7 linked regions of the Xenopus tropicalis genome follow. The protein of the gene in region 1 binds, or shares a complex with, the protein of each later gene. Links are inferred from orthologs where the notes say so. Each region holds a gene or a part of one and is shown in the gene's direction. Other genes may lie near its edges.

The links.
Region 2: strip1 (region 1) and stk26 share a complex: the UniProt entries of both Homo sapiens proteins name them as parts of the core of STRIPAK complex. The link is inferred for Xenopus tropicalis from reciprocal best matches to the Homo sapiens genes STRIP1 and STK26.
Region 3: strip1 (region 1) and ppp2r1a share a complex: the UniProt entries of both Homo sapiens proteins name them as parts of the core of STRIPAK complex. The link is inferred for Xenopus tropicalis from reciprocal best matches to the Homo sapiens genes STRIP1 and PPP2R1A.
Region 4: strip1 (region 1) and stk24 share a complex: the UniProt entries of both Homo sapiens proteins name them as parts of the core of STRIPAK complex. The link is inferred for Xenopus tropicalis from reciprocal best matches to the Homo sapiens genes STRIP1 and STK24.
Region 5: strip1 (region 1) and stk25 share a complex: the UniProt entries of both Homo sapiens proteins name them as parts of the core of STRIPAK complex. The link is inferred for Xenopus tropicalis from reciprocal best matches to the Homo sapiens genes STRIP1 and STK25.
Region 6: the proteins of strip1 (region 1) and ppp2ca are in contact, whole or in part, in a cryo-EM structure (PDB 7K36), measured with the Homo sapiens proteins. The link is inferred for Xenopus tropicalis from reciprocal best matches to the Homo sapiens genes STRIP1 and PPP2CA. Residues at the interface, in NP_149079.2 of Homo sapiens: Gly421, Leu422, Pro426, Phe436, Lys443, Phe444, Pro460, Arg461, Pro462, Ile463, Glu465, Ser466, Thr469, Leu470, His473, Arg726, Lys730, Met733, Ser737, Tyr740, Gln741, His745, Arg746, Leu747, Asn748, Asp749, Trp751, Ala752, Tyr753; in NP_002706.1 of Homo sapiens: Thr40, Glu42, Ser43, Asn44, Ser171, Pro172, Ser173, Ile174, Asp175, Thr176, Asp178, His179, Arg181, Ala182, Leu183, Asp184, Arg185, Leu186, Gln187, Glu192, Gly193, Pro194, Gly208, Trp209, Gly210, Ile211, Tyr218, Ile224, Thr227, Phe228.
Region 7: the proteins of strip1 (region 1) and strn3 are in contact, whole or in part, in a cryo-EM structure (PDB 7K36), measured with the Homo sapiens proteins. The link is inferred for Xenopus tropicalis from reciprocal best matches to the Homo sapiens genes STRIP1 and STRN3. Residues at the interface, in NP_149079.2 of Homo sapiens: Arg441, Ile445, Tyr447, Leu449, Thr455, Val456, Val457, Gly458, Leu459, Arg491, Ser492, Pro493, Leu494, Ser495, Phe792, Leu793, Pro794, Val795, Asn797, Cys798, Leu799, Val802; in NP_001077362.1 of Homo sapiens: Thr64, Pro66, Gly67, Leu69, His70, Tyr71, Gln73, His74, Val88, Glu89, Ala91, Glu92, Ala95, Arg96, Phe99, Leu100, Glu103, Gly106, Gln107, Leu110, Asp113, Leu114.

The regions. Positions count from the first base shown.
Region 1 is NC_030678.2:72,084,664-72,089,236, forward strand, and holds the start of strip1 (striatin-interacting protein 1), read left to right. Parts: upstream 1-1,595; 5' UTR 1,596-1,602; coding exon 1,603-1,728; intron 1,729-4,352; coding exon 4,353-4,422; intron 4,423-4,573. UniProt on the Homo sapiens protein: Plays a role in the regulation of cell morphology and cytoskeletal organization. Required in the cortical actin filament dynamics and cell shape. Part of the striatin-interacting phosphatase and kinase (STRIPAK) complexes.
Region 2 is NC_030684.2:67,410,983-67,415,745, forward strand, and holds the start of stk26 (serine/threonine-protein kinase 26), read left to right. Parts: upstream 1-1,766; 5' UTR 1,767-1,957; coding exon 1,958-1,999; intron 2,000-4,763. UniProt on the Homo sapiens protein: Serine/threonine-protein kinase that acts as a mediator of cell growth. Modulates apoptosis. In association with STK24 negatively regulates Golgi reorientation in polarized cell migration upon RHO activation.
Region 3 is NC_030683.2:120,831,073-120,835,067, reverse strand, and holds part of ppp2r1a (serine/threonine-protein phosphatase 2A 65 kDa regulatory subunit A alpha isoform), read left to right. Parts: intron 1-1,166; coding exon 1,167-1,267; intron 1,268-2,384; coding exon 2,385-2,617; intron 2,618-3,667; coding exon 3,668-3,815; intron 3,816-3,995. UniProt on the Homo sapiens protein: The PR65 subunit of protein phosphatase 2A serves as a scaffolding molecule to coordinate the assembly of the catalytic subunit and a variable regulatory B subunit.
Region 4 is NC_030678.2:121,371,464-121,376,037, forward strand, and holds the start of stk24 (serine/threonine-protein kinase 24), read left to right. Parts: upstream 1-1,364; 5' UTR 1,365-1,490; coding exon 1,491-1,532; intron 1,533-4,574. UniProt on the Homo sapiens protein: Serine/threonine-protein kinase that acts on both serine and threonine residues and promotes apoptosis in response to stress stimuli and caspase activation.
Region 5 is NC_030681.2:125,808,098-125,811,438, forward strand, and holds the end of stk25 (serine/threonine-protein kinase 25), read left to right. Parts: intron 1-11; coding exon 12-83; intron 84-665; coding exon 666-796; intron 797-2,248; exon of another isoform or gene 2,249-2,334; intron 2,335-2,496; coding exon 2,497-2,515; 3' UTR 2,516-2,691; downstream 2,692-3,341. UniProt on the Homo sapiens protein: Oxidant stress-activated serine/threonine kinase that may play a role in the response to environmental stress.
Region 6 is NC_030679.2:26,547,395-26,551,389, forward strand, and holds part of ppp2ca (serine/threonine-protein phosphatase 2A catalytic subunit alpha isoform), read left to right. Parts: intron 1-1,647; coding exon 1,648-1,857; intron 1,858-3,234; coding exon 3,235-3,408; intron 3,409-3,995. UniProt on the Homo sapiens protein: Catalytic subunit of protein phosphatase 2A (PP2A), a serine/threonine phosphatase involved in the regulation of a wide variety of enzymes, signal transduction pathways, and cellular events.
Region 7 is NC_030684.2:113,226,234-113,230,984, reverse strand, and holds the start of strn3 (striatin-3), read left to right. Parts: upstream 1-1,520; 5' UTR 1,521-1,814; coding exon 1,815-2,033; intron 2,034-4,751. Other genes in the region: ap4s1 (AP-4 complex subunit sigma-1), read right to left, coding at 307-444. UniProt on the Homo sapiens protein: Calmodulin-binding scaffolding protein which is the center of the striatin-interacting phosphatase and kinase (STRIPAK) complexes.

The DNA.
Region 1 (4,573 bases):
ATGTTTTAGGGGGGCCCTGGCTACCAATGTTTTAGGGGGTCCCTGGCTATCAATAGTTACATAGGGTTGAAAAAAGACCAGTGTCCATCAAGTTCAACCCATCCAAGTAAACCCAGCACACCTAACCCACACCTACCAATCTATACACTCACATACATAAACTATAAATAATCTCTAATCTAAAGGGGTGACCTCTGGTGCATTGATTGTTTTTATGGGAAAAAAGAACATCCCCCATCTGCCTATAATCCCCTCTAATGTACTTGTAAATCAATGTTTTAGGGGGCCCTGGCCAGCAATGCTAACAATGTATGTGTGTCCTTTGTACTGATGGGAGGGGTCACTGGGGGCGGGCACATGAGAAGAGGGGGGCCCAGAAAATTTTGTTGTGGGGGGCTTCATGATTTCTCAAGCGGCCCTAAGTGTGTATATATATATATATATATATATATAATCTGTTCTTTGTGTTTGCTCAGTTTCCCTTGTGTAATATTACATTTAAACTCGGAAACAACTCGCTTTGCAAATATGCAGTACCAGGTAAAACAATGGAGCAGCAAATACTTTTTCTCATCACTGTAATTACAAACTAGGGTGTATGTTCTATGGCCCCATCCTACTAAATTAGCAGGGATCTCCACCTTCACCAGGGGGTCCCAATTAATAGTCTGATGGACACCTAGGCCCCCTGAATGGTAAGCCCTGTCTCAAGTAAAATAGGGCCTCAACGAAACAAAAATTGCCCCTCCTATACAGTGTGTTCTAACCTGTCTCTAAGCTTAATTTAAGACAAAACTCCAACAAAACCTTGCCCACTCATCCACAAGCCCCATCCCTTTTAAGAACCTGGAATCATGCCTTTTCATCTCAGGACACCTGACTGCTGATGTACGTGTACTCCAATAATGATTGCCCATTATCAGGGGCCATTTAGATAACTTAAAAATGTAAATTGTGCATTTCACTTATCTATGGATAGCTAATGTGTGTTGCCTCATTTTACAATTTTACTTTTTAGAAACATCAGGTGCACAATTTGCAGCGCTCATACCCTAGATCTGGACACTTCCTTTTGCTCAATTGTATAAGCACTCTGACAACGTTACAAGAGTTTCTTCTACTGAAATTTTCTGACTGTAGTTTGGTTGATAGAACTGACCAGCAGATGGTGCTATTATTTCAATTTAGACGCATTAGCTGTGTAAAAACGTTTACCAGCTTAAAATCTATGAATACCTAATAAAAGTGGCAAGAAGCCCAATTTTACATGAATGTATTTAGAGTTAACGTTTCCTTTAAGGGTAGCCGGCTTTCAAACATCGCTGTAACTGCAGAGAATACATGGTTAGATATATAGATAAATGCAGGTCTCAGCAATAAAATACATGTTATGTAGACAGGAATATACAAAACACTGATTATCACACTGGTGCCGATACATCAGTCTCTATAAGCCGCCCAGTTTGTCAAAGAAAGGGCGAGACTCTTCATACTATCGCGATGTTTGGAAAGCAGAAACAGACACGCCTTGGGCTTTGCGTTCCACCGCAAATGTTCTACTGAGACGGCGGTGTCACGTCACGTGGGCGTCGCCTGAGAAAGATGGAGGCTTCCGGTTCTCTGATTGTCAACAACAAAATGAGAACAGGAATCGGTGGTGCGGTAATTGGCAGCCCCCAACCGGGCAAGGGACGAGAGTACAACCGTACACAGCGCAAGGATTCAGAGGTATGAGTAAAAGTGGTTGTTATGTATAACTATATTGCATTAACATTTGTGTTTGATTAGTACTCAGTTATCCTCGAATTACCCTTGTAATGTAACTGTGTGCCAGCTTTTATGCTTACTTAGTGACCGGGGTATGTCTGGGGAACCTGTGACAGGAAGACAAGACAGTTCTTACCTGATTAAAAAGCCCATTCCAAAAGGAATCTCACATCAGTTTTGCGAACTATTCTAAACTGCTGACTTGTCTTAGTTTTACTGTTCACCAAAAATATATATTATAGTTCTTCGTGGTTGCTGTCATGTTAATATAACCTATAGTTATCAAAAATATTTAATTAAATCTCCGTCATCCTGAAAGTTGAGCATTTCATTTAGAATCACACATTATATTCCTGTTCTGCAGGAAGATGCTGTGACAGAAAGGCACATGTACCTCTGCAAATGTAGTGAGAAAAGTGCAGTTTTGAGCGTAATTGCTGCAGGTTTTTGAAAAAATGTTGCTTTTTCCCCCAGAATTTGAGTCATTGTGGTTCTCAGTGGAGTGATACGCCTGGCACAATTGCTCTGTCTATTGCAGTTGTATCTGATTTGCAACTGTGTACCCAAAATTGGATGCAATTGCGCCAAAATCCAGCTGGCGTCAGTTCTACTGTTTGGTCTGTACCTGATTCTTTAGGTGCAGCAAGTGTGTGGCAGCTCCAGGCTTCCCCTGGTGCAGCAGCTCTCAATTTGGAACGGAAGGTAGGAAGGAGAACATAAAAGTGGTGCTAGGTGCAGCTGGTTGGGGGGAAACTGGGGACCACTATTGCACTCGTGGACGTAAATGAGCCCTAAAGTGTTCCTGGAAATATCATGCCCATGTATTATTCAAAAAGTTGAATTTAATGCAAAGCTAAGATTTCACCACTTGCACCTTTCTCAGGGTGGAACAAACAAATGGTATTTGGGAGCAGCTGTGCATATTGTAAAAGTAACTGAGGAGAGAATTCTTTGGGCTGTAAACATGATTCAGACTTAAGAAAATAGTATAAAAATGTACCACTCTGTCACATGGTTTCACAGAAAATGCCTGAAAGTTAGTCTGAGGGTAGAGGGCCCTGGGTACTCATGAAAATATTTCAATGAGCAAAAGATCTCCTAGCATGGCCTTGCTTTTACTAGTGAGATTTTTTTTTTTTTATTGGTCTGTGTTTACTGCTTCATCACCTGGGGTTTACAATTGCTCTCGTAATGTGTTATGCTATAATGTGACCCTATTCCACGGTTACTCTAAAGAACCAGGTTGCAAAATGAAATCACTTTCAGTTTCATTGTTTTCCCTGTTAAGTAAAAGAGCTACTGAAAATATTACCTAAGCAAATTAGCCTTTGAGGAAAAAAGGTGTAACACGTACAGTGTCTGAACATCTATGAATAAAGTTAGGTCTCAAAACTGATTACATTTAAATCTCCCAGACTACTAAGAAATATGGTTTTGTTTGCATCAGTCTTATGAGAAAGAATTGATATCTTTCGAAGTTATAATTTTTTTTTTCTTTCCAAGAGTGCAGTCATATTCTGTGACTAGTTGCAAGTGCATTGAAAGCTGTCCACACATAATTCAGCGTGGAAATGCAATAATAGGTATTTGTATTTGCTCTCTGTGAGTGAACAGGTATATCCCTTGCCTAGAAGTGCACACAGAGGGGGCAGAAGGCAGCAGATCAGCTTTTCTCTGCTGGTGTATCTACAGCAATGGGGAAAAAAAACATTCCATGTGCCATTAGGGCGAATGGTCGCAGCGACTTTCCCTTCAAAGGATCCTGTATATGTTGCTGCGACTAATAGCACACAGGTTTTCGCTGCGTAGAGAAATCGCAGCGACTTTTTAAAGACTTATGCCGACTAATCGCCTTGTGTGTCTTCACCCTTAGGGCTCTGGCACACGGGGAGATTAGTCGCCCGCAACAAATCTCCCTGAAAATGTAAATCGCCGGTGGGATGGCATAAGCGGCGGCGCGCTTTCACTGAAATCGCGGAAGTTGCCTTGAGAGGAAACTCACATTTTTTTTACATTTTTGCCGGTGGGATGGCATTTCTGGGAGATTAGTCGCCCGCGAACAGGGAGATTTGTCGCGGGTGACTAATCTCCCCGTGTGCCAGAGCCGTTAGCCTTCCAATGTTTTTGGATAAAAGGTTTTTTTTTATGACTTTCTGGGCTTTTGTGTCCAAAGAATGATCAGATAAGACATCCTCTTACCACAGATATTAGTTATTTGATTTAAAGGGAAGGTCTGAAAATTGTTGTTAGTTTGACTGTTTGGGTATAATCTAACAATCTGATAATGATAGAACAATTTGACTGGTCCATCTCCCAGTCTCTCCTGTGAACTATCATATTTCCAAGACCGCAGTCTTCATGTTGATGATTTATTGTTCTACAGTATACATCAAAGATGACCATTTGTTGGTGATACTATTTACATGCCTTTTGTAATTATTTTTATGTGTGCAGACAGAAAACATAAATATGCCATAAAGTGTTTTAGCTGTTTGTTGCCAACTTGAATGATAAAATAAATTTAAAATTGTTGCACTGGGTTTCTTTTTTTGTTTATTTTTTTATGGCACTTCTGTTCATTTTAGGGCTATTCGGAGTCTCCGGACCTAGAGTTTATATATGCTGATTCTGACAAGTGGGCAGCAGAACTTTCAGGTAAATTGTAGGGCTTCATCTTGGTCATCTACACTAAGTACAATAAAAATATTACTCAACTTATAATTTTTTTTACCATCCTTTTACTTTCCTACTTTCCAACATAAGTGTGCATAGTTGGTTCTCTCACAATATGCAAAAATTAGTACAA
Region 2 (4,763 bases), on another chromosome or scaffold:
ACCAAGTCAATAGGTAAAATCAGATTGGCTGTTCACAGCTCCACCCACTTTTGGGCATCCAACAATCATCCTATTTTCATTCAGGCTGACCCCATGACTATGTGATTCAAGTTTGGGGAGTGTAGCCTCAAAGCTGTAAGATTGGCAGCAGTTTCAATTTCCCCATTTGATTGGCTGTTGAAATTTGATTGGCTGTTGTTGGCCCCTCCCACTTTGGATCATCCAACAAATGTTGCTGTTTCATTCAGGGTGACCCCATGATTATGTTATTCAAGTTTGGGGGGTATAGCTTCAAAGCTATAAGTGCGGCAGCAGTTTGAAAATCTTCCCTGTCAAAGTCAATGGAAAAATTGGAGCGGCGCCACATAAAGACGGGGGGCGGGATTGCTTAGAAAAGCACAAGCAACCTGCTCCGCTATAGGGCGCAGATGTGTAGCGAGTTTGGGTGTTGTACCCCTAAAACTGTAGGAGGAGTAGCGTTTAGAAAATGGGGGGGGCGCTAAGAATAACAAGAAGAAGCGGAAGAATAAGCCAAAGTCGAAGAACAGTATGTTGGGGTATTCAACACAACACAACTAAACACAGATGCTGGACATTTGTCAACTACAACATACTTCTGTATACAGAGAGACACACAAAAAAACCTTTCATGCTTCAATGGTACTATTATGTAGTGGCTCATTCCTCATAACCCTTTTCTCTACTATCTCTATAATCTTTGTTAGTTGGTATTTAGTGTGTACATCCAGACTGATATCATGGGTAGGGGTCCCACCACCATCACACATGAAGAGGCTATTCAAGTAAAGCAGTAGTGTAAAATATGCAGGAAGGAAAAGCAAATGTGAACAGAATGTAGCAAAATGTTTGTGCCAGTCTTTACAGCAGTAACATGCCACTAGGGGAATTTGTTGACATACTGAATATATTGTGGCCCAAAAATTAGATTGATCTTCTAGTATATTTTTAGCTGGTAAACAGATAACTGTATATTAGCTGCAATCATAAGAAAACAGAGGGAGCTTCTAGGGCTGATTACTCAGGTATGGTAATGCTTTCTGCAGAATAAATATAGTGTTCTAGGTGGCACTAATGTGGTGAATCTGTTGGCAGTAAAATGCCAAAATGACTTTCCTTCTCCTTTAAGCCTCTACAGAACATGCTCCACAAGCTTTACTTAAGTCTTCTTATTCAATAACTGTAAAAGTGTGATACCTAGAGTAATTCTGCACTTTTTAGAACAGTTATTGTAAAAAGTGGAGTCTTCTATAACACATTCGCGCCACCTTTCTTCATAATGAGAAAGTAAAACTTTGTAATATTAGGAGGCTGTAGCCTACAGAACACTTTCTCACAAGCACGGCTATTTATCCTACTTTGAGAAGAGCCAAGGTCACCTATTAAGTAGGATAGTTTAGTCCTAGTATAGGAGCAGAGCCCCATTGAGGCATTGAGGGTTCTGGAAGAATCAGTTCAATACCAAATTAAAGCAGATTCAGTCAGACAGAGATATTGTAAGAGTCACCCTGCATGACTGACATAACAAAATGGAAAGTCTGCGACGGATTTGCCTCGTTATGCAAAGCTTCCCAGCCCTGCCCAGGTAGCATGACATCTTCCTAGTCACCTTTTCACATACTAGCGCTCAATGATCGCTTGGGGCGGGGCCGCCTGACATCACCACAACCCCACGTGACCGGCTTCAGTCAGACTGCGGCTCCACCCTGCGTGGCTTCAGCTGCAGCCTTCAGTCCTCTCCCAATATGGCGCCCCGAGCTTGCTGAGCTTCTACCCAGGCTTTCAGTACTTGGACCTTCACCGAGAAATGGTCACAGTGTCAGGCTGCAGACGGATAGCCACGGATAGCCAGAGCAGTGTTTGAGCAGCAGCGGGCAGCAGCAATCCCCGCTCGCACCCCACCGCCAAGTCGGAGTAGGAGGCCTTGACGCCGCCCGCCATGGCTCACTCCCCGGTAGCCGTGCAAGTCCCAGGGATGCAGGTGAGCTGCCACGCAGAGCATACTAGAGCTGCGAATGAGATTTCTCTGTGGCTTTATTAGCCGGCAAACCTCTTGCCCGTTTCTATGGGGCAAAGTCTTTCCCGCAGGATCTTACGATACCTAAGTCGTACCTAAGCAGGATCTTTAGGAAAGCCTGGGCACTGCCAGTTCTCAAGGGGTTGGCAATACCTGTAGTTATAGCCTAGGCACAAGTAGAAGGGCTAGGGCTGGGAGAATCTGAACTTGAAGCTTAGGCACAGTCGGGGGCTGTGTGTATAACATTGGCACTGTATATCCGGAACTGAGAGGCTGAGTGCCAGTACCATAAAGAATCGAACCTTAGACCAGGGTAGGTTCTGTGTCTATAGTATGGGCCGGCTTGGCTTTTCTACATCCTGACACATACAAAGAGGTAATGTCTGCTACCTTGGATTGCTGTAGTTATTGGCCAGCCGAGTAAAGGTTCCCACACCGTCCCAGAAATTCTGCACTTTACTAATACATGGAACTCGCCTGCTACGTCATTAGATAAGATCAGGGATGTCGCCTGTGTGACCCTTGCGACTAACATTGACCGCTCAACCCCTGTGTCAGATTCAGGCAAATCTGCTGAATAGATTGTGTTTTGCACCTGTATATGGAACTGACATTTCAAAGAGACGATAGAAGAACCCCAAGCCAAGCACAGACGTCATCAGTTCACTCCTGTTTGCATGGGTCTAGACACTGTCTGAAACGGGCATACACTGAGAGCTTATACACAATACTGTAAATATTACTGTACAGTAACACACCTATGCTAAACCAGGGCTGTTATATGCTGCCCGCAAGTTGCCCAGCATCATTTATGAAATGTGTTTGCTTTGAGTGCTAGTTCTTACCCGCGTTTAAAAGTACAGGTATGGGATCCCTTATCCGGAAACCCATTATTCAGAAAGCTTCAAATTACAGAAAGCACGTCTCCCATAGACTCCATTTTAATCAAATAATGCAGAATTTTAGAACTGATTTCCTTTTTTTCTGTAGTAATAAAATAGTACCTTGTAATTGATTCCAACTAAGAAATAAATAATCCTTATTGGATGCAAAACAATCCTATTGAGTTTAATGTTTTATTGACTTTTTAGTAGACTTAAGGTATGGAGATCCAAATTACGGAAAGACCCCTTATCCAGAATACCCTTGGTCTGAGCATTCTGGATAACGGGTCCTATACCTGTATCATATCCATGGCTTGGCCAGAATGCATTTATCAATATGGTCAGGGTGTCTTCCTCATTCTGTAATGTAAGACATCTAAGGCACTTGACTAAATACTATGGGTATGCCAGTATTGCTTGTATGCAATAAATGCTATATTTATTAATGTATACTGTACTAACAAAAAAGAGAAAAGCCCAATCTATGTGGCACACAGGTCATCCCACCAAACACTCCAAAATCTATACCCCTGAGTGTAAATAAACCAGTTATACAGTCACTCAGTGGGCTTCTTGGTGCTTGTGGTGTGGCACTTTAGCAGTACGAAATGTATGACCCTAAGTTGTATTGTCATCTTTTATCATTGTCAGTATTCTAAATTTAATATTTTGCAGTGATGAGCTTGAACTGATCCATTATCAAGTTCTCAACCCCTTTTACTGAGGATAAACATGTTACTCATAGTACCCACTTCATACATCAATGTTGGAATTGCTGTTAGGTTTACAGGTGTGTTCAAGCAATGTTCTTATATGCATTTTACATTACTTCCAAGAACAATATTGTAATGAAGACAATTTAAGTACAGAATCTTGAGTTAGGTGCCATGTTTGTATATTTGGAATTAAAATATACGCTTTAAAAAAGCATGGGCATCAAGAAGCTTTTGGCCCTTAACCAAAGTTTAAAGTGAGGTTAATAGTTTACATAAACTTAATGATCTTTAGTAATATTATTCTTTATATAGCATAAACATGTTGTGCATTCTTTTGAGATCCTGTTTATCATTTTAATTTGTCCTTGCACAAGTGGGGCTTACTCTACCACATGCATATATTTTGGGAAGTTTAGGGGCCCAATATATCTCTGTTGTTTTAATCTCTGTTTTATTTATAACTAATTCACAATAACGTGAAGGCCTTTCTGTGTTAAGTATGTTAAGAGTCCTGCTGGTTCAAATTATGTAGGTACATTGGGGTTTGGGTTGTGTATGGCAACTTGCTCAGCTTCTTTCAAAATAGCTTCTCTCCAGCCTTCTGTATTTTCTGATGATGCAACCTTTGATTTTTTGATTACATGGCTTCTGTGTTTTAGAGTGGGCAGCAGGTAGCAGACAGGGTTGTGGGTTTGGTAGCTTGTCAGAGTGGGGAAAAATGCAGGTCATGTGTGGATCTATCTGAATAGACCCATTCAGGTATCTAATGTATGTGCACTTGTTAACTTTCTTTATACTTGACCTGTTCTCGAGACCTGTGCCTATAATTAAATCAGAATACTTGTTAGTTATTTATTGTCCCACAATTCCATGTTGAAGTTTTCTACCGTTTCATTCCTCAACAACAAGTGAAACTTGTGAAACTTTATAAAATATGTTGGCATTTATACAGATATATAGGTGTGCCTGATTGCTCCTTGGTTAGTGGTGTTAGGGGAATGTACACAATGATAAATCAGGCTTGTGTATAACACTGAGAATAAAATACAAAACACTGAAAATATATTTATTTTCATTGATATTGATATCTTCATATATACATGAATAAATATGGATTTTCTTAGTGAC
Region 3 (3,995 bases), on another chromosome or scaffold:
TGGACTGAATAGAGAAACCTGTTTCACAAAGTTAAAAGAAAAGCTGTGGTATGAAATAAGGAATACTTCCTGTATTGCTAAATTCAGTTTTTGCTGGGCAGCAACCAGACAGAACAGCAAGAGCGCTTCTCTTACACATGCATTATATTAGCAGTGCACAATTGCAGGTATGGGACCTGTTATCCAGAATGCTGGGGACCTGGGGCTTTCCGAATAAAGGATCTTTCCGTAGTTTGGATCTCCTAAAGTCTCCTAGTCTGCTAAAAATCATTGCAGTATTGAATAAACCCAATAAGATTGTTTTTGCCTCCAATAAGGATTAATTATATCTTATTGGGATCAAGTACAGGTGCTGTTTTATTATTACAGAGAAAAGGGAATAATTTAACCATTAAATAAACCCAATAGGACTGTTCTGCCCCCAATAAGGGGTAATTATATCTTAGTTGGGATCAAGTACAGGTACTGTTTTATTATTACAGAGAAAAGGGAATAATTTAACCATTAAATAAACCCAATAGGACTGTTCTGCCCCCAATAAGGGGTAATTATATCTTAGTTGGGATCAAGTACAGGTACTGTTTTATTATTACAGAGAAAAGGGAATCATTTAACCATTAAATAAACCCAATAGGGCTGTTCTGCCCCAATAAGGGGTAATTATATCTTAGTTGGGATCAAGTACAGGTACTGTTTTATTATTACAGAGAAAAGGGAATCATTTAACCATGAAATAAACCCAATAGGGCTGTTCTGCCCCAATAAGGGGTAATTATATCTTTGTTGGGATCAAGTACAGGTACTGTTTTATTATTACAGAGAAAAGGGAATCATTTAACCATGAAATAAACCCAATAGGGCTGTTCTGCCCCAATAAGGGGTAATTATATCTTTGTTGGGATCAAGTACAGGTAATGTTTTATTATTACAGAGAAAAGGGAAACCATTTTGAAAAAGTAGAATTATTTGGTTATAATGGAGTCTATGGGAGACAGCCTTTCTGTAATTCGTAACTTTCTGGATAGCGGGTTTCCGTATAAAGGATCCCATACCTGTACTAATATAATGAAAACAAAAAAAAAAAAAGAAAATAACGGCAAAAATGCTCAGAAGTGTTGGTATATGTCTCCTTTAATCCTCATGATTGACCTTCCATTTTTTTTTAGACACCATATATGATGAAGATGAAGTTCTTCTTGCTTTGGCTGAGCAGCTGGGGACCTTTACTTCACTGGTGGGGGGACCAGAATTTGTACACTGCTTGCTGGTGAGTATTTATTAGACTCCAATACAAATAGACTCTTCCCCAGTAATTATATAATTAGAATATTATAATTCTGTTTAAAGTGGCTGTTTGTGTTCATAATAATGTTTTCAAAAAGTATAAAATATATTTACTCCAGTAATTGAAAATAGGGGCAACTTGCTTTTTATTTATTTTTTGACCATTTTCTGTCCGAGTGTTTACGTTTTAAAAATCTTAGCAAGCCAAGTTGTTGGCTGTCTAAACTGAGGGGCTACCTACACACATAACAAGATTATAAATATAGGAAACTATAGGCATATCAACCATTCAGCTAAAGCTTTAAAGGAGAAGGAAAGTAATTTTGGCATTTTACTGCCAATAGATTTGCCACATTAGTGCCACCTAGAGCGCTATATTTATTCTGTAGAAACCGTTACCATACTTGAGTAAACAGCTTTAGACACTTTCTCCATTTGCTTAAGATAGCAGCTGCCCTTTTAAGTAGCTTCCTGCCTGCAGTCTAGCTGTTATAGCTGAGATCACACATTCCTGAGGGAGTTCTTATCATTCTGGTGGGAGGGGGAGCAGGAGAGAACTCTGGTCACCTTAATTAAGGCTGTTTCTGAGAGAGGAAGTCAGACAGTGGAACATCATTTTTACCAAAAAAAAGAGACCAGAAATCCTGTGTTTCTTTTGATAGAGGACTCAGTGCAGTGTTTCTGTGAGTGCTTATGGCTGTATTTACATAGTCCTTACTGATAAAGCTTACTGAGTATTTACCTTTTCTTCTCTTTTAAGAATAAGGAAATATGTTTTACTGTTTTTACTCTAATATACCTTCAGGCTGGTCTTTTCGCTGTATTTAGGTGAGCAAATGGGCAAATCTCACGTTAATTAGTATGGAGACTATTTCCCTCCCCCTTGGGGTCCAGCCTGGGAACCACTGATTTAGATGGTTGGGGACCTGATTTAGATGGTTGGAACAAAAAAACTATTTGTTTTTTAACTTTAAAAAGGTTTTGCAAAGGTACTGACCCTTTAAACATTTGATTAAAAAATTGGTGAACAGGAATAGCGCTGGATTTATCTACTGAGTTATCTATCATTTTCTAACCATCTCTCATTTTGCCTTGAAAAGCCGCCATTGGAGAGCCTGGCAACAGTCGAGGAGACCGTAGTAAGAGACAAAGCCGTTGAATCCCTCCGTGCCATTTCTCACGAGCATTCACCTTCTGACCTTGAAGCTCACTTTGTGCCACTGGTAAAGCGCCTGGCTAGTGGAGACTGGTTCACCTCCCGCACATCTGCCTGTGGCCTCTTCAGCGTTTGCTATCCACGTGTCTCCAGCACTGTAAAGGCCGAACTTAGACAGTGAGTACCACCAGATTGTGGCCTTACTTAAATATCATACAGTTATCCAATAAGCAGTGTCCTATACATGTATTATTATAATGCATAACATTACTAAACACATGACTAAAGACGATTATAACTATTATACTATATATCTCCCTGCTCTCTACAATGGGTAATATTTACCCATACACAAATGTATCGCACATTCTTTCTCATTGTAGTGAGGGTGAGGTTCTACTACTGAGTACTCCAGCAGCCAAAGGGTTATACCCCTTTTTATGGCCTGCTGGGACATTCTCCTTTCACCCTCATTACCTTATGTATGAGGTGGGACCAAATCATTAATGACCCCCTGTGGTTGTTGGTTTTAGGCCCATTTTCTGTAATATAATATTAGTACAGTGCCAGTACCCAATATTATAGTGAAAATAGGGGTATGCAGTGACCCATATGTGGGTGATAAGGATGATACCAAACATGAGGTGGTAATCCCTCCTAAATGGTGGGAATAAGCTGTCCCTGTTTGGTATCATTAGGAATTGTGTGACCGCCACACAACCAATATATATGATTTATGAGGAGGTGAACCCTATATATGAGGTGAAATGGATCCTTGTCTTTTTCCATAAATGCTCCCCCCTGCAGCCCTAGGTTCACAGCTCCTTCCTTTGATCCACAGTTCAAAAGAAGTGACTGGCTCAACTTCTTTGCCCAAATGGTGTCACTCCGAATTGTCTCCAAATTCAGATATGAATATCATGTTTGCATAGCCCTCCTGTGAAAGTGTCTAAAGGGACTCTTTGCAGACCTAATACCAAATGTTTCCAGTGTTAACCCTTTACAATGCCAGAGCAATACTACTCTGCAATGACCAATATTTTAGTGAAAGCTGACAAATATATTATTCATTATTGCTAACAAAATTAGGGGGAATAATGCGAGTACTATAATCTTTACCTACTATAATCTCTTCAGTCCTTTTAATGAAAACAGTTTTATTAAACGTTGCAATAAAACAGCACATTTTCATTATATAAAAAATGCGCACATTCTTTTTCTCTATAGGCACTTCCGAAACTTGTGCTCAGACGATACTCCCATGGTGAGAAGAGCCGCTGCTTCCAAGTTGGGGGAGTTTGCTAAAGTTTTGGAGTTGGAAAATGTGAAGAGTGAAATAATTCCCATGTTTTCCAACCTAGCATCTGATGAGCAGGTAAACTGATTGCAGGTCTTGCCACATATATTCTACGAGAATGTCCTGAATTAGAACATGTATATGTGTGTATATATATATATATAATATACATGCCGCCATTAAGCAAACTGAAAGCTTTTATTGCAGGTGAGGTTCTAACAATCGACTTCAAAATATCTAAAGACTGAAAACAGTTTG
Region 4 (4,574 bases), about 49 Mb from region 1:
ATAAAGCATTAGAAAGGTTATTATATGATCCCCTTATATATTTATACATAGTTATCATGTCACCTCTTAAGCGCCTCTTCTCCAGTGTAAACAGACCCAACTTGGCCAGTCTTTCTTCATAACTGAGACTTTCCATACCCTTTACCAGCTTAGTTGCCCTTCTCTGGACCCTCTCTAACTCAACAATGTCCCGTTTGAGCACTGGAGACCAAAACTGAACAGCATATTCTAGATGGGGCCTTACCAGCGCTCTGTAAAGGGGAAGAATAACCCCCTCCTCCCGTGAATCTATACCCCTTTTAATACAGCTCAAAACCTTGTTTGCCCTTGCAGCTGCTGCCTGGCATTGCTTGCTACAGCCAAGTTTATTATCTACAAGGACTCCAAGGCCCTTCCCATTATGGATTTGCCTAGTGCAGTCCCATTAAGGGTATACAGGGCTTGCATATTTTTACATCCCAGGTGCATGACCTTACATTTATCCACATTAAATCTCATCTGCCACTTAGCTGCCCAGATTGCCAGTTGGTCAAGATCCTGCTGCAGGGATGTCACATCCTGGATAGAATTGACTGGTCTGCAGAGTTTTGTGTCATCTGCAAACACTGATACATTACTCATAATACCCTCCCCTAAGTCATTTATGAACAAATTAAACAAAAGTGGACCCAGTACAGAACCCTGAGGGACCCCACTGAGAACCTTACTCCAAGTAGAGAATGTACCATTAACAACCACCCTCTGTACCCGATCCTGTAGCCAGTTTTCTATCAATGTACAAACAACATTACTAAGACCAATAGACCTTAGCTTAGAAAGCAGTCGTTTGTGGGGAACGGTAAAGTGGAGGCAAGTTTGTGCTGCACTTGCTGGTTTTCCCCTTCTGATACCTGTAGCCTTGTCAGTACTAATACAGGGGTATATTGTGCCTGATTACTCTCCCACACTAGATAGGCATGAACTAAACGCACCCTAAGTGCAGTAGCGCCTCCTGCTATACAGGCACCCAGGGGTGGCAGCTGTGTCTCACCCAGGGGCAGGGGGAAAGCTCCCAAGGGAGAGAAGCAGATGAGTCCGATTAAAGTGACATGCCATTGCCCTGGCGAGAGTGAGGGCGCAGGAGGAGCTGTGTGAGGGGAAGAGACAGGAGGAGGAGGAGGAGGGTAGATGGGTGGTTATTGCTCTTCTTGTTTCCTGCTCTAGTTTTCTGTACGAGAGAGGAAACCGTGGTGACATCGCCTTGTATCTACTGCAGCCTCAAACTTGCTTCTCCCCATTTCGTGTGATCATTGGCCTCAGCCGCCGCCGGAAATCCTCCTCTCCAGCACAATAATAAAGCCAATCTCTTCCTGCTCCCCAGCTCTGCCCCCGGCTGCTCCTCCTCCTCCTGGGCCCGGACTCGTAGGCAGAGGGAAGCCCGGGGGACCGGGGAACACTCCTCGGTATCGCAGTGGATGTAAGGGCCGGGGTTGTGCTGCCGGCACATCAGTATGAGTCACTCCCCGGTGCAGCCCGGCCTGCCTGGGATACAGGTGAGCTCTGCCGCGTCCTACCTTCGCCTTTAGCTTGGCTTTCGACCCCTTCTGGTATATATTAGTCTGTCTGCGGCCCTTCAGCAGTTGAACTACAACTCCCAGAAACTTGGCTTGCATAGAATGCTGGGGAATGGAGGCTGGATAGTGTGAGTAGTTAGTACAGCTGCTGGGGGGCCGCAGGTTGGACATCTGAGTGCAGGTATTGATGCTCCAGGCTACAGATCAGGCTAGAAATCAAGGCATTTGGGACCTTATTCCATTGAGTCTGCATATTGAGGTGCATGGTTTGCCCGGAAACCTTTAACTCATCATACGGGAAACATTACTGTTATTGGCCACAGTCCTAGCACATCTGTGGGAGCAAATACGAGTTCACCTTGCTGCCCCCCCCAAAATGATCTTCAGCTGGCATTTATTGTGGGAGTTTTAATCAGATTAATCAGATCAGCCCATTTTAGTGGCTAAATCCATTTATACATCTGGTTCATTTATATGTAATTGCTCATAGTGACATGTGTAATGGTGCTGGGTGTCCCTTACACTGTGACTTTCTGTTACACACCTACATTGCTTTCCCATCTACTACAGCTGTGTTGAGTAAAGAATCCAGATCCAATAATTCTTTACACACTGAGTAAAGCAACTGACATAAACATAAAACTGTGACATAAACATGCTTTTTGTTTATTAACAATGGAAACTTTTTAGGCCTGTGCCACTGTTTGACATTTCTGTAAGTAAAGTGCTGGTGTGGCTAAGGGGAATGGGGAACAGTGACTAAGTATGTGAGAGGCCGCAATTAAGTTTAATTTTTATTCTTAAATTGAATTTTTGTTTCTATAGCTCCCCAACTTGCCAGTTAAACCACTACTTTGACAGTGACCATGTGCTCAATATCAGTTTTCTAGTTTGAAAGGGTTACTAAATCTCAATTTAAAATTGACAGGTTAAATAAAATAAATGTAGTGTATAAATAATATTAATAATAATAATAAGGAATAAGAGTCTCCGAAAAGTAGTTTAGATTCTATCTGCCTGTAACATAATCCTTAGGTTAAAGGCCTTGGACTTCTTAGATTAAGTTGCTTTATAAAGCCCTGCATGAGATAAGCTCTTATTAGTGCCTAACAGGATAAGAAATACATATTGGCATCTATTTAGAGGTGCTTTCTGCATTATGTTTTCCCATAACCCTTTTCTGCTGTTTGTCACCATTTGCCTTGAAATAAACTCAAGCAGCTTTGTAAAACGACTGTCCCATATTGATGGGTAGCAGTGCAGTTACATACTAAGGTCCAGATCAAATTGTAAAATGTTGTTCTTTTACAAAGGGGTCTGTGTTGCTCTTGTGACTTAGGGCCATAAAAATCAATTTGAAGACATCATGCAGCCAACTGATTAACTTCTAGGGTGGGGACGCTTTTCTGCACCTCTGTCCCACATAGGAAGAGATACCTTGTACATTACTCGCACTCATTACTGCAGTAGAAAAACTGGTCATTGAAACCAACTAGTTTTACAGGTCCCTGGCCTTTGTGCTGCAGTGCAACTTGTACCTCACTGATTACAGCTCATTTACAATTTTGGCAGATTATCTACAGTGTGATTCATTCACAAGCATTTTGGGTGTATTCTTGTCCATTGTAATTTGCCACTTTGATTTTTACCATCCCCTTAGGGTGTGGCACTTTACCAGCCGTACTTCTGGTGGCATCTTTGTCAGCCTAAATGTTTGTTATGGTAGAATTTTAACTGGTCAGACAATGCTTTTATTAGCATTGTATATAGCTCTTAGTCTCCCCGCCCCACCAAGAGAGAACTGTTCCCGGCTCACAGTAGTTCAGGGGGCTCAAATGGTAATCAACCATGTCCATGTAAGCATGTCCAAAATACATGCACTTTTGACTGGGTTTACTGAGAACAGGCACTGGAACAACTGCAGAATGCTGACCAGAGCTTCACCTTAATATGGGGTTATAGGGCTGTCATGGAACGTTTCCAATCTAGAAACATGCATTCCCATAAACAGCATGACTACATTGCAGGACTCTTTAATTTACTCATTCTTTATTCATAGAGCTCCAGCATTTTCCTCTGAACACTTGCTTATTTGCCAACAGGAAATAATCATAGTAAAATATAGTGAAGCGTTGCTGCCTGGTTTGTTTATTTTCCTTTGGTTTGTAATGCAAGGCACCTTCTTAGACTTGCAAACTAGATCCTGTAAAACTTATGCCTGTGGCCTCTTTGGTCAAGCTGGTGGTCATAAAAACAATCATGTAGAGCAGTGATCCCCAACCAGTGGTTCATGAGCAACATGTTGCTCACCAAACCCTTGGATGTTGCTCTCAGTGGCCTCAAAGCAGGTGCTTATTTTTGGATTTCTGGTTAGGAGGCAAGTTTGATTGCATAAAAACCCAATGTAATTGCCAAACAGAGCCTTCTATAGGCTTCCATTCAACATAGGGGCTATTAAGTAGCCAATTATAGCTCTTATTGGCACCTTCAGGAACTTTTTTCATGCTTGTGTTGCTCCCCAACACTTTTATCATTTGAATGTGGCTCACGGGTATAAAAGGTTGGGGATCCCTGATGTAGAGTAAGTTGAAAAGGCCTGTAAGGCCTTCTGTTATAGTGAACTTTGTGCGTGTGTTTTTTAAATATACTGTATATCTACTAGTACCATAGGCCTTTAAAGGAAAACTATACCCCCAAAATGAATACTTAACCAACAGATAATTTATATTATGTTGTGACCTATTAAATAATTTTGCCAAACTGGAATATATATCCGTAAATATTGCCCTTTTACATCCTTTCCCTTGATCCACCATTTAGTGATGGACTGTGTGCTCCCTCAGAGATCACATGACCAGAAATAATGCTGCTCTAACAGTAACAAGAAGTGTGGGAGCAAAAGACAGAACGCTGCCCATTAATTCGCTGACATGGCCTAGCATGTATGTGTACCTTGGTTTGTTTGTGTGCACTGTGAATCCTATGATCCCAGGAGGTGGCCCTTAATTCTTAAAATGGCAA
Region 5 (3,341 bases), on another chromosome or scaffold:
TTTGTCTGCAGTCAGCAGAAGTCATTCATCGCCTGCCACGGTCACACTGTCTATCAGCCTTAGTAACACCAGTTTTCCAAGAGGTGACTACTTTTTTAATATATTTTTTGTGTTTTCACAGTTTAGATTTGTGGGGAGAGGTGGAAGGGGGATAGGTTGGTTAAAGGGCATCCATCACCCCAACATTATTTCCCCCACCAGAGATGCAGAGTAATAGAGCCCGCACTCCGGTTAGAGTATTTTTAAAAAAATACCCCCTGCCAGTACTAGGCCGCCTGCATCAGGAGGGAGCTTCCGGTGGGAATGGCCATATTGTTTGGCACACACGTGCATAATGAGCGAATCTATGCTTGCTCGCATGTGCCTGACATAGAAAGCGGTGGATTTAACTCGCCCTGCTACATCATACCCGTGCCATGCGCATAATGATCGAGTTGTGGCACTCATTATGTGCACGCGTGTGTCACAGCATGGCTACCTGCACCGGGAGTTTTGTGTGTTCCAGTCATTTATAAAAAGTACATGCAAATAGTTTTTCAAGCTTAAATCTGCCCATGTATGGCCCCCTTAACTCAGCAACTCTGTACACATTTTTCAGATGTAAAAGATGAGTGTTTAAAGGTCTGTAATAGAGCAGCAGTCTGTTTCTGTTCTTTGCCCACCAGCTAAGGGAACAGCGCAGTGCTGGAGCATTTGGTTCAGTGCAGGAGCTGGAAAATGCCTTTAGCCTGGCCGAGGAGTCGAGCCCTGGAATCACAGATCAGCTGATCTCTCACCTGGTGCAGCGAGTGCAGAGGTAACAATCTTCCTTCTGCTCAGTACTGCCTAGGAACCATTCTATCCTGTACCATGCTGCTCTCCACCGGTTGGGGCTTCCCAGTGTCGGGACTGGGACCCCAGGGGCCCACCAGAAAACCTTATACCATGGGCCCATGCTCCAAACTGTTTTTCCTCCTTTCCTCACTCAACCACTTTATTCTCCAAGTCTCTTTTATTTACATGATAGCATCTATTCTGTCATCTATTTCTCCTCTTTGTTACCATTCAGAAATAGGGAATGACCATGAAGTAAATGCCAAAAAAAAAGGCCAAATGGTTAGAAACAACAGGGCCCACAGACCCCTGGGCCCACCGAGAGTTTTCCTGGTATCCTGGTGGGCCAGTCCAACACTGGGGCTTCCACGAAGAATAATCCTAACGTCCCACGGGAAAATGTGTTGCCCGTGAGAACTAATCTCCCCAAAAATCCCTTCCACCAGCAATAAAGGGAATTGCTGGAGGAAAGGCATAAACATTGATTTTTTTTCCAAAGTTGTGCAAAGTTGCCTGCAGTAGGAAACTCAACATGACTTCACAAAAACGAAGTGATGCATAGGCCTTTTCAGCAGCAATTCCCTTTATTGCCAGTGGAAGGGCTTTTCGGTGAGATTAGTCGCCTGCGGCAGCAGACATTTATTGTGGGCGACTAATCTTCCCGTCGGGCATTAGCCTTAGCAAGGGAACACCTCCTCTTCGTTAATAGGGTACTACAGTATATAACTGACTGATACTCAGATATGTCTTCCTGTTCATCAAAGCTTAACTATGGAGAAGGGGTAAGGGCAGGTATAGATATAATTCCCTACTGTGGAGCTGCCGAAAAAAAGTAACTGCATAATAAAGACACAACAAAGCTGTCATTACATTACAAAGTATCAGAGGCTCTTGGCTGCTGCCAGAGGGTGGTGCTGATCTCTGACAGACTGGGGTTATAGCTATACGAACACAGCACCATCTACAGGATATGCACAAGAGACAATAGCACTGACAACTGCCACAGGCAGATCCCAAATCCTAGGAAGGTGCTCCAACTAATGAAAACTTCACGAAAAGCTGAAAGAAAAGTAGAAGTTTATATAAGCACACTACATTCTCCCCATTATGGAGAAAAGGGTTATTCAGTTTATTAAGTGCAGTTTCATTGCAAATTATTCTGCATTAAAAATTAAGGGGGACCCCCCCTAAAAGTACCATTTAGTCAAATATTAAAGTTCCAGTATATAGGATATGGCCCTGTGACTACTGCATGTTTTACATGTCTCCCCCCCTTTACATATGCACATGTTGTTAATATTCTATTTATAGTGGAGAATAAATTGTAATGAATTTGCACCTAATAAATTGATCTCTATCTTTTCTACATCATTTGGAGACTTTTTGTGCTCATCTAAACCTCCCCTTTTCTTTCACTTTTTCATGTATGCACAAGACAAAAGTAACAGCCCTGACACTTTAGAGAACACAGAAGAGTTGCTGCCGTCGTATAATGCAGGTTTCTTTTACCAAATGCAAAAGGTAGGGAGTAAGTTCACTAGGAACCCTCTTCTACTATTAGTTCAGAATTTACACTTTCTGTTTAGTAGCCACATCTGTGATTTTGGTTTTGCAGTCGTTTGAATATTTCATGTTCCATCAGTGCAGTTTTTTGAGTTCTTTGTCCATTCTCTTGTTTTATAGGTTCTCCACCGCACCATGAATTCATGCACCCAGCCAACAGATACATCTCTGCATTTCCCATGGCACCATGGGGCTGTACTGTGAATGATCAGACAAATCATGCCATAACATATGAAAGAATTTATTCATTATTTTTCTGAAAAGATTTCTCATGAGCCAGTGTTATATACAAATAAACTGACATTTCATACAGATTTTTTGGGAGACATGATTTTTTCTAGTTTCCTTAATTATAAAGTGACCACTTTGAATTAGCTGAAATACAAATAATTTAGAGAACTGAAGCCTAAAAACAAATGTGGGTAGAAGTACTGGATTTTTGTAGACTAAATGTACTAAACCAGCTTGAAGTTTCAGAATCTCTATAGTAGTATTGAGTTTTGAGTCTTCAAAGTTGCGCACAGGGGGTTCACCATCTTGGATTTTGTTAGAATTGTCAGTAACACTCATGCTCAGTGGGCTCTGGGCAGCTGCAGAGAAGCTCAGCTTAGGGGCTGTTGCAAATCATCACATGTCATAGAAGCGGATTATTACATTTTGATGCAAAATACACTGGTTTCTGTGCTCTCATGTAATGAGAATCTGAATTTATTAATAAGCCTTGTATTGTGACTTTTATATTGTGTGTATATATATATATTGTAAGTGGGTCCCTAAGCTCAGGTAAGTGCCAGCAGCACAGAGCATATGCAGGGAATCGGCAGAACAGAAGATGGGGAGCTACTGGGGCATCTTTGGGGGCACGGATCTGGTAGAGAAGCACAAAGCATAATGTTCAACATTTCTACCCTTCTTCTTTGTTAAGCTTTAGTTCTCCTTTAACAATAACTAAATGTGAAACTCTC
Region 6 (3,995 bases), on another chromosome or scaffold:
TTCCAGCCTTCTCAGACTGGCAGCAGCTATAAATAAACTGACAAGTCACCTCCAAGTTAACTGTTTATATATTTTATAATTTGTACAGTTTGCAGTTGGGTTTTGTTTTGAACTGTTTTGTAGCTTTCTAGTTTGGAACCAGACTGGAAGGGAAATATGAAAGAGATCACAATAGCAAACCTTTAATGCAAACAGCAGATGTAAAAGGAACAGTATAATCACTAAGGGGTGCTCCCAATGAGTATAATTGCCTACTTGATTGGTGCTCCTGTTCACTGAAATTTGCAAAGGCCCAGGGTTCATTATATCGCCATCTTCTTCTGTCTCCCAGGGGTACTTCTTTGCCAAATTTATAAAGCAGCAACGTATTCAACAGTGCTGTACAATAAATGGGTGTATGCATTAAACATACAAAGTAATATACAAAAGCAAACAAATAGGCAATGCAAGAAAGAGAGAGGGCCATGTTTAAAAGAGCTTATTTTCTAAAAAATACCCTTGTGTGGGATCAGTTTTGAAATAAAAATAAAAAATGAATAATAGAGGACCTAAAAAGAAAAACAAGCAATAACATTAAGACTGGACTGGCTAATAATTAATGAACACCAATATGAAGATGATCAGAATAAGTCAATCACTCACAATGTAATGCACAGTATAAGTTGGTTACAGAGAATGGCACTAGAGCCTTGCGTGACATTAGCCTAAAATGAGAATTCCACTTGCCTTAATATATACCAGGCAGCATATAAAGATATTAGGTAAATTACTTAGTCCCGTGTGACAAATTCCTAAATGTAAAAAATCCACTTTGGCTTTTGATAGTAAACTGGCATTCTAGTTGATACTTGATCCTTTGGGGTTCAGGTTGAATATCCATTAGCCTCAGTAATGAGATTTTGGGGTCATTAACTGAAACACTGGGCAATTTGCATCTGGGTAGTAGCCCATGGGAACCCATCAGTGCTAATCACTGCTTACAGTGGGTTACTGTTCAGTTGACAGTGCCCCCAGATATTTTCAAGTTCCCTACAGTATAGGACTAAAACTGTCCCTGCCTTAAAATTTCTGTGTTTAGCTCTTTGACCCTTTGTGGAGAAACCAACATTTTACAACTGATTTACATTAAATACCAACCAATTTTTAGAACTTTTTTTTTTCTCTTCCCCTTTAAACTTTGCAGGAAACTTATCAGTCTGCTATAATTTTTTCCACTTCTGTCACAAAATATGAGATATGGGAAAATCAAACATTGAATATATGAACACATAACTGTATACAGAAAGTCTTCTGAAAGGCTCCCATAGACTCCATTTTAATGAATTAAAAAACAGTACCTTACTGTAGGCGCAACAATCCTATTGGGTTTATTTAATGTTTAAATTATTTCTTGGTAGACTAAGCTATGCTGATCCAAATTACTGAAATATCCCTTGTCCAGAAAACCCCAGGTCCCAAGGATTCTGGATAACTGGTCCCATACCTCTACCAAAAGCACAAAACAAGTGGAGATTTCAAACCCAACTCTGTCTAAAGTAGTCGAATTGGCAGCTTAAATCTTCACATGTAAGGGCATATTAAGGTCTCGATTTAATATCACAAATGACTCGTTTACAGCAGTTAACAGCAAATGTGTTTATTTTACAGGCAAAAGAAATCTTAACAAAAGAATCAAATGTCCAGGAAGTTCGGTGCCCAGTCACAGTATGTGGAGATGTACACGGACAATTTCACGATCTTATGGAACTGTTCAGAATTGGAGGCAAATCACCAGATACAAATTATTTGTTTATGGGAGACTATGTTGACAGAGGATATTACTCTGTTGAAACTGTAACGCTGCTTGTTGCACTTAAGGTAAGATAATTCATTTATATTAATGGTGCTCCACTGGCAATCAATGAAACAATACAATATTATAAGGTATTCTTATAATAAAATGCCAAAATATGCCACAGTGCTGTACAATAAATGTGTATACATACATACAGATTACATACAAAAAACAACCAGTAATCTATGCAACAAGTTGATAGGGCAATGCTTAGTAGAGCTTGAGGATATGTGTTTTTTTTCTGTCCTGTATGTATATTAATGTTTTTTTTATACCTACTACACCAGATAAATCAGTTGACAGTAGCCATTCACGTACAGTAGAAAAGACGAAATATAGAGCGCTATCAGTGTATCAATAAAATAAAACTGTTCTAAAGAGTCCCCTAACAAGAACTTGTAGCAGAAAAAGCACAAGCAATAAAAAATGCTAATATAATATATATAGAAGGCCATCGTATGTTGAAGGGAAAAAAATGATACATATGAATACAATTCAAATATTATCCAAAAAGCTTTTAAAGTCTCCTAATGTATAAGCATGTTATTGTAACACCAATAAACATTAAAAAAAAGTGGGCAGCCTATATGATGTGCAGATAGATAAATGAAAAATATGTATTTCATTATGATGCTGTAGTGCTATAAATAATCCAGTCTGTTCTATTTAAAAAGCCATAAATATTTCTTCTAGTTGTTATTAAATATTCATTTGTACCGTAAAGCCAGAAGGCTCATTTGTAGAATGGAGGGGGTTTAGAAAAATATTTTTTTGTAGTTTTTTGCTGTCAAAAGCAGCATTTTTCTGCGACTTGCTGCACTGTTGTTTCTGTCTCTTAAAACAATGTACAGAAAGTAAACCTTGCATGCTGCTTCTGTTAATGAACTAGCTTTGCTACATTGTTTCAAAAGCCAAAACCAGCAGGGCAGAGAATAGTAAGATCGCTTTCTGTAACAATTACATTTACAACTTTTACACCATAGACATCTTGCATTTAATTTGTATTTTCAAAGTTTTTCGAATTACATTTTCTGTCTGTTGGTTTTCAATGGTACATTCTCTACTTAGAGAAGGGTTCTTAATGGGATCCTGCAGGGTTTAGTAATGGGTCCACTGTTAAATTTGTTCATTTAACAAATTTGTTCGTTAATGAATTTGAGGGAGGGCGCTGTACGCAATGTATGCATTATGCAAGTTAGTTTCATCCGGGATGTAGCATTATTTCAGGGGGATATGAACAACTGAATCTTATCTGCCACTTAGCTGGATAGATTGCCAATGTTGATATGAGGTTATGAATTTAGGGTTTATAAATAACTTGTACTGGGGGTACTTGTGTATAATAAATGATAGAAGTCTCTGTTTCCATTTTATTGCAAAAACCTATTCATACCTTTCAGGTTCGCTATCGGGAACGCATCACAATCCTCCGAGGAAATCATGAAAGTAGACAAATCACACAAGTATATGGATTTTATGATGAATGCTTAAGGAAATATGGAAATGCAAATGTCTGGAAGTATTTCACTGACCTTTTTGACTACCTCCCCCTGACTGCACTGGTAGATGGTCAGGTATGTGTATAATGTGTATATTAAGTAAACACTTTTATTGCAGAGCTCCACATTAAAAGAGGGTGACTTCCCAGTGTATGTATAAATGTGTCAATAAATAGGACTTGACATGAACATATTTTGTCTGTTGTGTGCAGTGCACACCAATGGCATTTGAAATAAGGATTCTCTTAAAGGAAAACAATACCCCCAAACAATGTAGGTCTCTCTAAAAATATATTGCATAAACCAGCTCATATAACCCTGCTTCATCTAAATAAACCTTTTTCATAAAAATATACTTTTTTAGTAGTATGTGCTATTGGGTACTCCTAAATAGGAAATAGCTATTTTAAGAGTTAAGGGCCACCCCCTGGGATCATAAGATTGACGGTGCACACGTACATGCTAGGCCACATCAGCCAATTAATGAACAAAGTTCTGCCTTTTGCTCCCACACTACTTCCTGTTACAGTTAGAGCTGCATTATCTGAGGGGGCACACAGCCCATCACTAAATGGTGGCTCAAGGGAAAGGATGTAAAAGGGCAATATTTACCGATATATATTCAAGTTGTAATTTAAACACTTGGTTAATTGTGTTTTTAA
Region 7 (4,751 bases), on another chromosome or scaffold:
AAAGTAAAATCTGCCATTAACTGCCAAGGAGTAGCAAAGAGGCACAATGGTAATATTTACACAGGGGTATTAACAATAAAGCAGCCTGGGCCCCATCCAGCTAAAAATGTAAACAAACAGTGTGTGTTGATTACATACCTTTGGGCTAGGCCTGATATTTTGCCTCACTCCATAAGGCAATATCAACATCTACCCAGAGTGTGTGCATAAGGGAAAATAAGGGTAGGCTCCATCTAAACAGATAAAAGGGGAGGTAAGGAGGCAGGGATTGTCACTATCCTACAACCTCCATAACGCAGTATTCACCTGATCCTTGGAACGTGACAGACACAATTTGATGACGTCAGATTCCAGCAGTGTCCGTCTCTGGACTTCCATGCGTTCATAGTATCTTGACAACCTGGTCTGTCCCTGCTTGTTCACAATGAGGAAGAACTTGATCATCTCTACAGACGAGCTGCTATCCAGAGCTGGAAAGGATGTATATAAAACATCAGGTTAGATGTCCTAATGTACAATGCAGGCTATAGATGCTTATAGCGGCAACAAAGGGTGTCTCTTGTGTCATGGTTTAAGGTCCTTGCTTGTTGATGGAGCAAGAGGATTTAGCACTATCTTGAACTGAAATGTACCAAACACCAGCATAAAGGTGTAAGGTGGAAATAGGAGCTCACTTATTATCAGCCTGAAACTACAGGGATCTGGTGGGATACAGATAGGGGGATTTCTGATTGGCTGCAACTTGCAGCTTACTGACCACATTTCTAAATGAGAATATTTAGAAATAAGACCAGTGTTGGACTGGGGTACCTCCGGCCAGCCACAATACCTGAACTCAAGAGCCCCCCTGCCTGTGAATGGGAAGTGGCCATGGTGACCAAGGGCCACACTGACATTTATCTGCAGGGCCAGTGAGGAGACTAAGGGCATTCTTTCTGCCCCATCCCTTTACCACTTTTTAGTCCCTACTGTCTGAACACTCTCAGGCCAGCACCAACAAGCTGCCGGTATCCCAAGCCTCAAGTCATACTATTGCAACGTATTTATACTGGCATGAAACTCACATGGAGCCTAGGGAATAGCGGGCTGCAGGCTATGGGAGAGAACAATGGCACAGGCAAGGATAGGCAGAAGCTGCTTACTGAATTCACTGTAGATACGAGGTGGCCATTGCTACTGTATGCATACTGTATGTAGTGTGTGCACAGTGAATCTAATTGGCTCCCCATTTGCTAAACCCTCCTCAGGCTGATAAAACACGTTTCTATTTAGATCACGGCTCCAGGGGCCGGCGAATAAAATCTCTCAGCCACTCAACGAAACCTGAAAGCGACGGCCGGTTACCCGTTCAAGGCGGGAGCATCCCATCAGTGGAGCGGCCGGCTAACCAACAATGATTTCCGGTAGCATTCGGCTGTCACCATTCCATGCGGAACTACGTCACTACTAGCCCTCTGGGCGGGGCGGGGATCACGTGACGCATATTGCCTTTGTGACGTCAGTCCGCTAGGCCCGCGCATGCGCCTTGACGCTGTCAGCGGGAGGCGGTGTGTGAGGCCGGTGTTTCCCAGAGTGCCCCGCGGAGCTTACCGGACCCCGGGGGGGAAGTGACAGATAACAAATGGGCAATATCAGGAGTGCGCTTGTGCGCAACTTATAGACGGGACGGCGGCGGGCTCCCCTCCGGGGGGGCGAGAGTTACCGGCCGCTCCATCTCACTGCTTCTCTCCTGACTGGCACCGGGGAGCTATTTGCCCCCTAACGGGACGCGTCACTTGTAGCGGAGTCCTTGCGAGAGGGTTGGTAGCGGCGGGATGGAGGATCTCCCGGCGGCCGGAGGAATGGCCGCGTCTCCGAGGTTGCAGGCCGTGGGTCCGGCCCAGTCCCAGGGAGCCCCATCTGAGCCTGGCTGTGAGCTAGCCAGCCGCCCCCCTCAGTACACTATCCCCGGGATCCTGCACTACATCCAACACGAGTGGGCCCGCTTCGAGATGGAGAGAGCGCACTGGGAGGTGGAGAAGGCCGAGCTGCAGGTGAGGGGTCCGGGGAACAATAGGGAGAGACGGGGGGCCCCACCGGGATGGCAGTGTGGCGCCCCCTACAGACTCGCACCCGTCTCTGGCCTTTCCTCATTCCCAGCTGAACTACATCTCCCCGCACCCCCGGCACACTCCGGCTGTGTATGAGCTGCGGGGAGTCCGGCACAGGTGCCCAGGGGGAATGCAGTGACAGGAAGCGGGGCCTTGCTCGGTTACTTTCAGGTCGCCATTTTGGCAGGCTCGCTTTTAGGGTAGGGCAGAGAGGGCATTTGCTCTGGACCCCCAGTATCTCATGGCTCCCTTGTGGGGAAGAATTGCAAGTGTGTAACAGTTGTCAGATATTGTCCCTATACAGATCAGGGGGGCAATCTGTTGCCCTCTAGCTGGGTTTTAGCGTCCCACCCACCACTGACCAGGGGTTGCTGGGAATTGTAGTTCTGCAGCGTTCATAGGGCCCAGGTGGGACAACCCTCCCACATATTGAGAGCCCAACCTTCTTGCAATGCCATGGAACCTTTCTTTTTATCTATATAGGGGCCTACGTGGCCGACATTCTGCTCCCATTAGCAGCCTCCCCCTGGGGAAGGCCTGTCTCTCCTCTCCAGCTCAGGACAGAGCAGTGACAGTGGGTAACTGGACTGTAATGACTGGGCCAAGTGACTGCCCTGTTGCTCCTGTCATTCCCAGGGCCGGCACCTAGTGATCTTGTCTGCAGGCATTCATTTGCCTCACTTCAGCTGCCCAGGTCATGCTGACCCCAGTGGGCTTGCAGGGTGACAGATAGGATTGTAAGCTGTATTAGACTTATTCCCCAAATCTCAAAGTAGCAGAGCTACACCACAGTGAGTGAGGATAGCCTATATGTGGGCTAGTGCCCAGTCTGAGCCAGGCAGATTGTTCTACATAGGTCTTTAAACTTATAAAGTGTTCCATTGGTTGCACAGGTCCATCCTGTTCTAAGATCCTATTGTATTCACAGGTAATGAAAATGCCCGTCCTTTATTTTCAAGTGCAACTTTACTTTAATCCACACATTGTTTGATCTAATCCTATGCATTCTTGTCTATTCTGCCCATACCTTTTATAAACCCTATATTAAACATGTTATAATTAAGTGCAGTGAATAAAAACTCTATTCACATTTTAACTACTGACTTAGGTAGGTATGTGTAATTGTGAAGGCCATGTATGAGCTTTTGTTTCTATCCCAGTGCTAGTACGCTGGAATTGATTGGTGGTGGTGCTCCTTTTATTATGTTGGCTAACTGTGTGTGTATGTGAATAACTGTCCTGAAACTGGGGTATTCACTAAGATGTTTGTGATACTATATCAATCAAGAATAGCTTAATTGTTGCTTAATTTTCAGTGGCTGACAATGAATAGCCTAATCAGGATACAGTGGAACCCCGATTTTACATGTCCCAGTGGATGGTGTCAAAATGGTATAAAATCTGGGGGGGAACAAGACGCCACTTGCTTGTATGGGAAAACTGAAAAACTATCAATAATGGGAAAATGTTAAATCCAGGTACATAAAATCAGGGGTTCTATTGTAATATGGCATGTTTGTCTTTGTTAATACTGATTAGTTCTATTTCTATATCCCTAGAAAGCAAGGCACATGGTGAGGGTTGGCAGGCTCTACATGTAGCCAGTGTCACATTTAGGAGAATTGGGAGAATTTTTATAAATCTAGAACTGCAACCTTCTATAAGCAGGTGATGTATCTGCCTTGCTCACAAGGCTCTGAGGTTCTCTGACTTTGGCTAGTATTGATTAGTTGTGTTTCGCTCGGCATTTGCCCAGTTTGTATGACTTTGTGTTCCCTTTGTGCAGAATATTGCTGCTATTTGAGTTCCTTTGGATGTTACAAAGATACATTAGCAAAAGGCGGCGCTTCTGATCAAGCCGTTAGCAATTCTAGTCCTGACTTCCATGCTGCCATTGCAATCAGATTACTAGTTACTTTGTATCTAAACTTCTGTAAAACTCAAAGAAACAGTTATGATCCTTCCCATTTGGCAGTAAAGTGTAAGTGTCCAACAGGGTGTCCATGTGCTGGGAATCAGCAGCAGTGTGTTACACTTAGCCTTTATGACACCATATGCTATAACCTTATCCAGGGCAGTCACAATAGAGAGAGAAGACCCAACAGCTGCTGGAAACCCAGGAGGCTTTCAGCTACTCAACTTGTACAAACCTTTTCATTCACCAGTTCTTTCCCAAATTTAACTCTGTTAGTAAGAAAGGTCTAAAAAGTTTGTGCTGTTAGGCCCATTTTACACTTACTAGTCATTTGGGCTTTCATTTTCCTGATAGACAGTTGATAAGGTGAAAATGGTTATTCAGAAATCTTTTTAAAAAAATGCTAGGTTTCAATATATTTCTGCACTTTTTGATTGCAATTGACAAGTGTTACCTGTATTATAAACACTGCATACACATTTGTTTAGTGCTGTAACTTCTGGCGTCCAATTTAACACTGGGCAAATGTAGTTGCACAAGTACTTCCCGCATAGCAACAAATTGCCAGGTTGCAATGGCTTTCATCTATGTAAGGCAGGTCTGAGAACATTCTTGTGCTTTAACTCTACAGTCAGTGGTGGGTTTCTCTAAATTCCCACTCATTGGCTGCACAGGGGTTAACACTTCTCTTGTGCGACTACACTTAAGACTTGTCATACTATTTACTGGATATCATATTGCAAAAA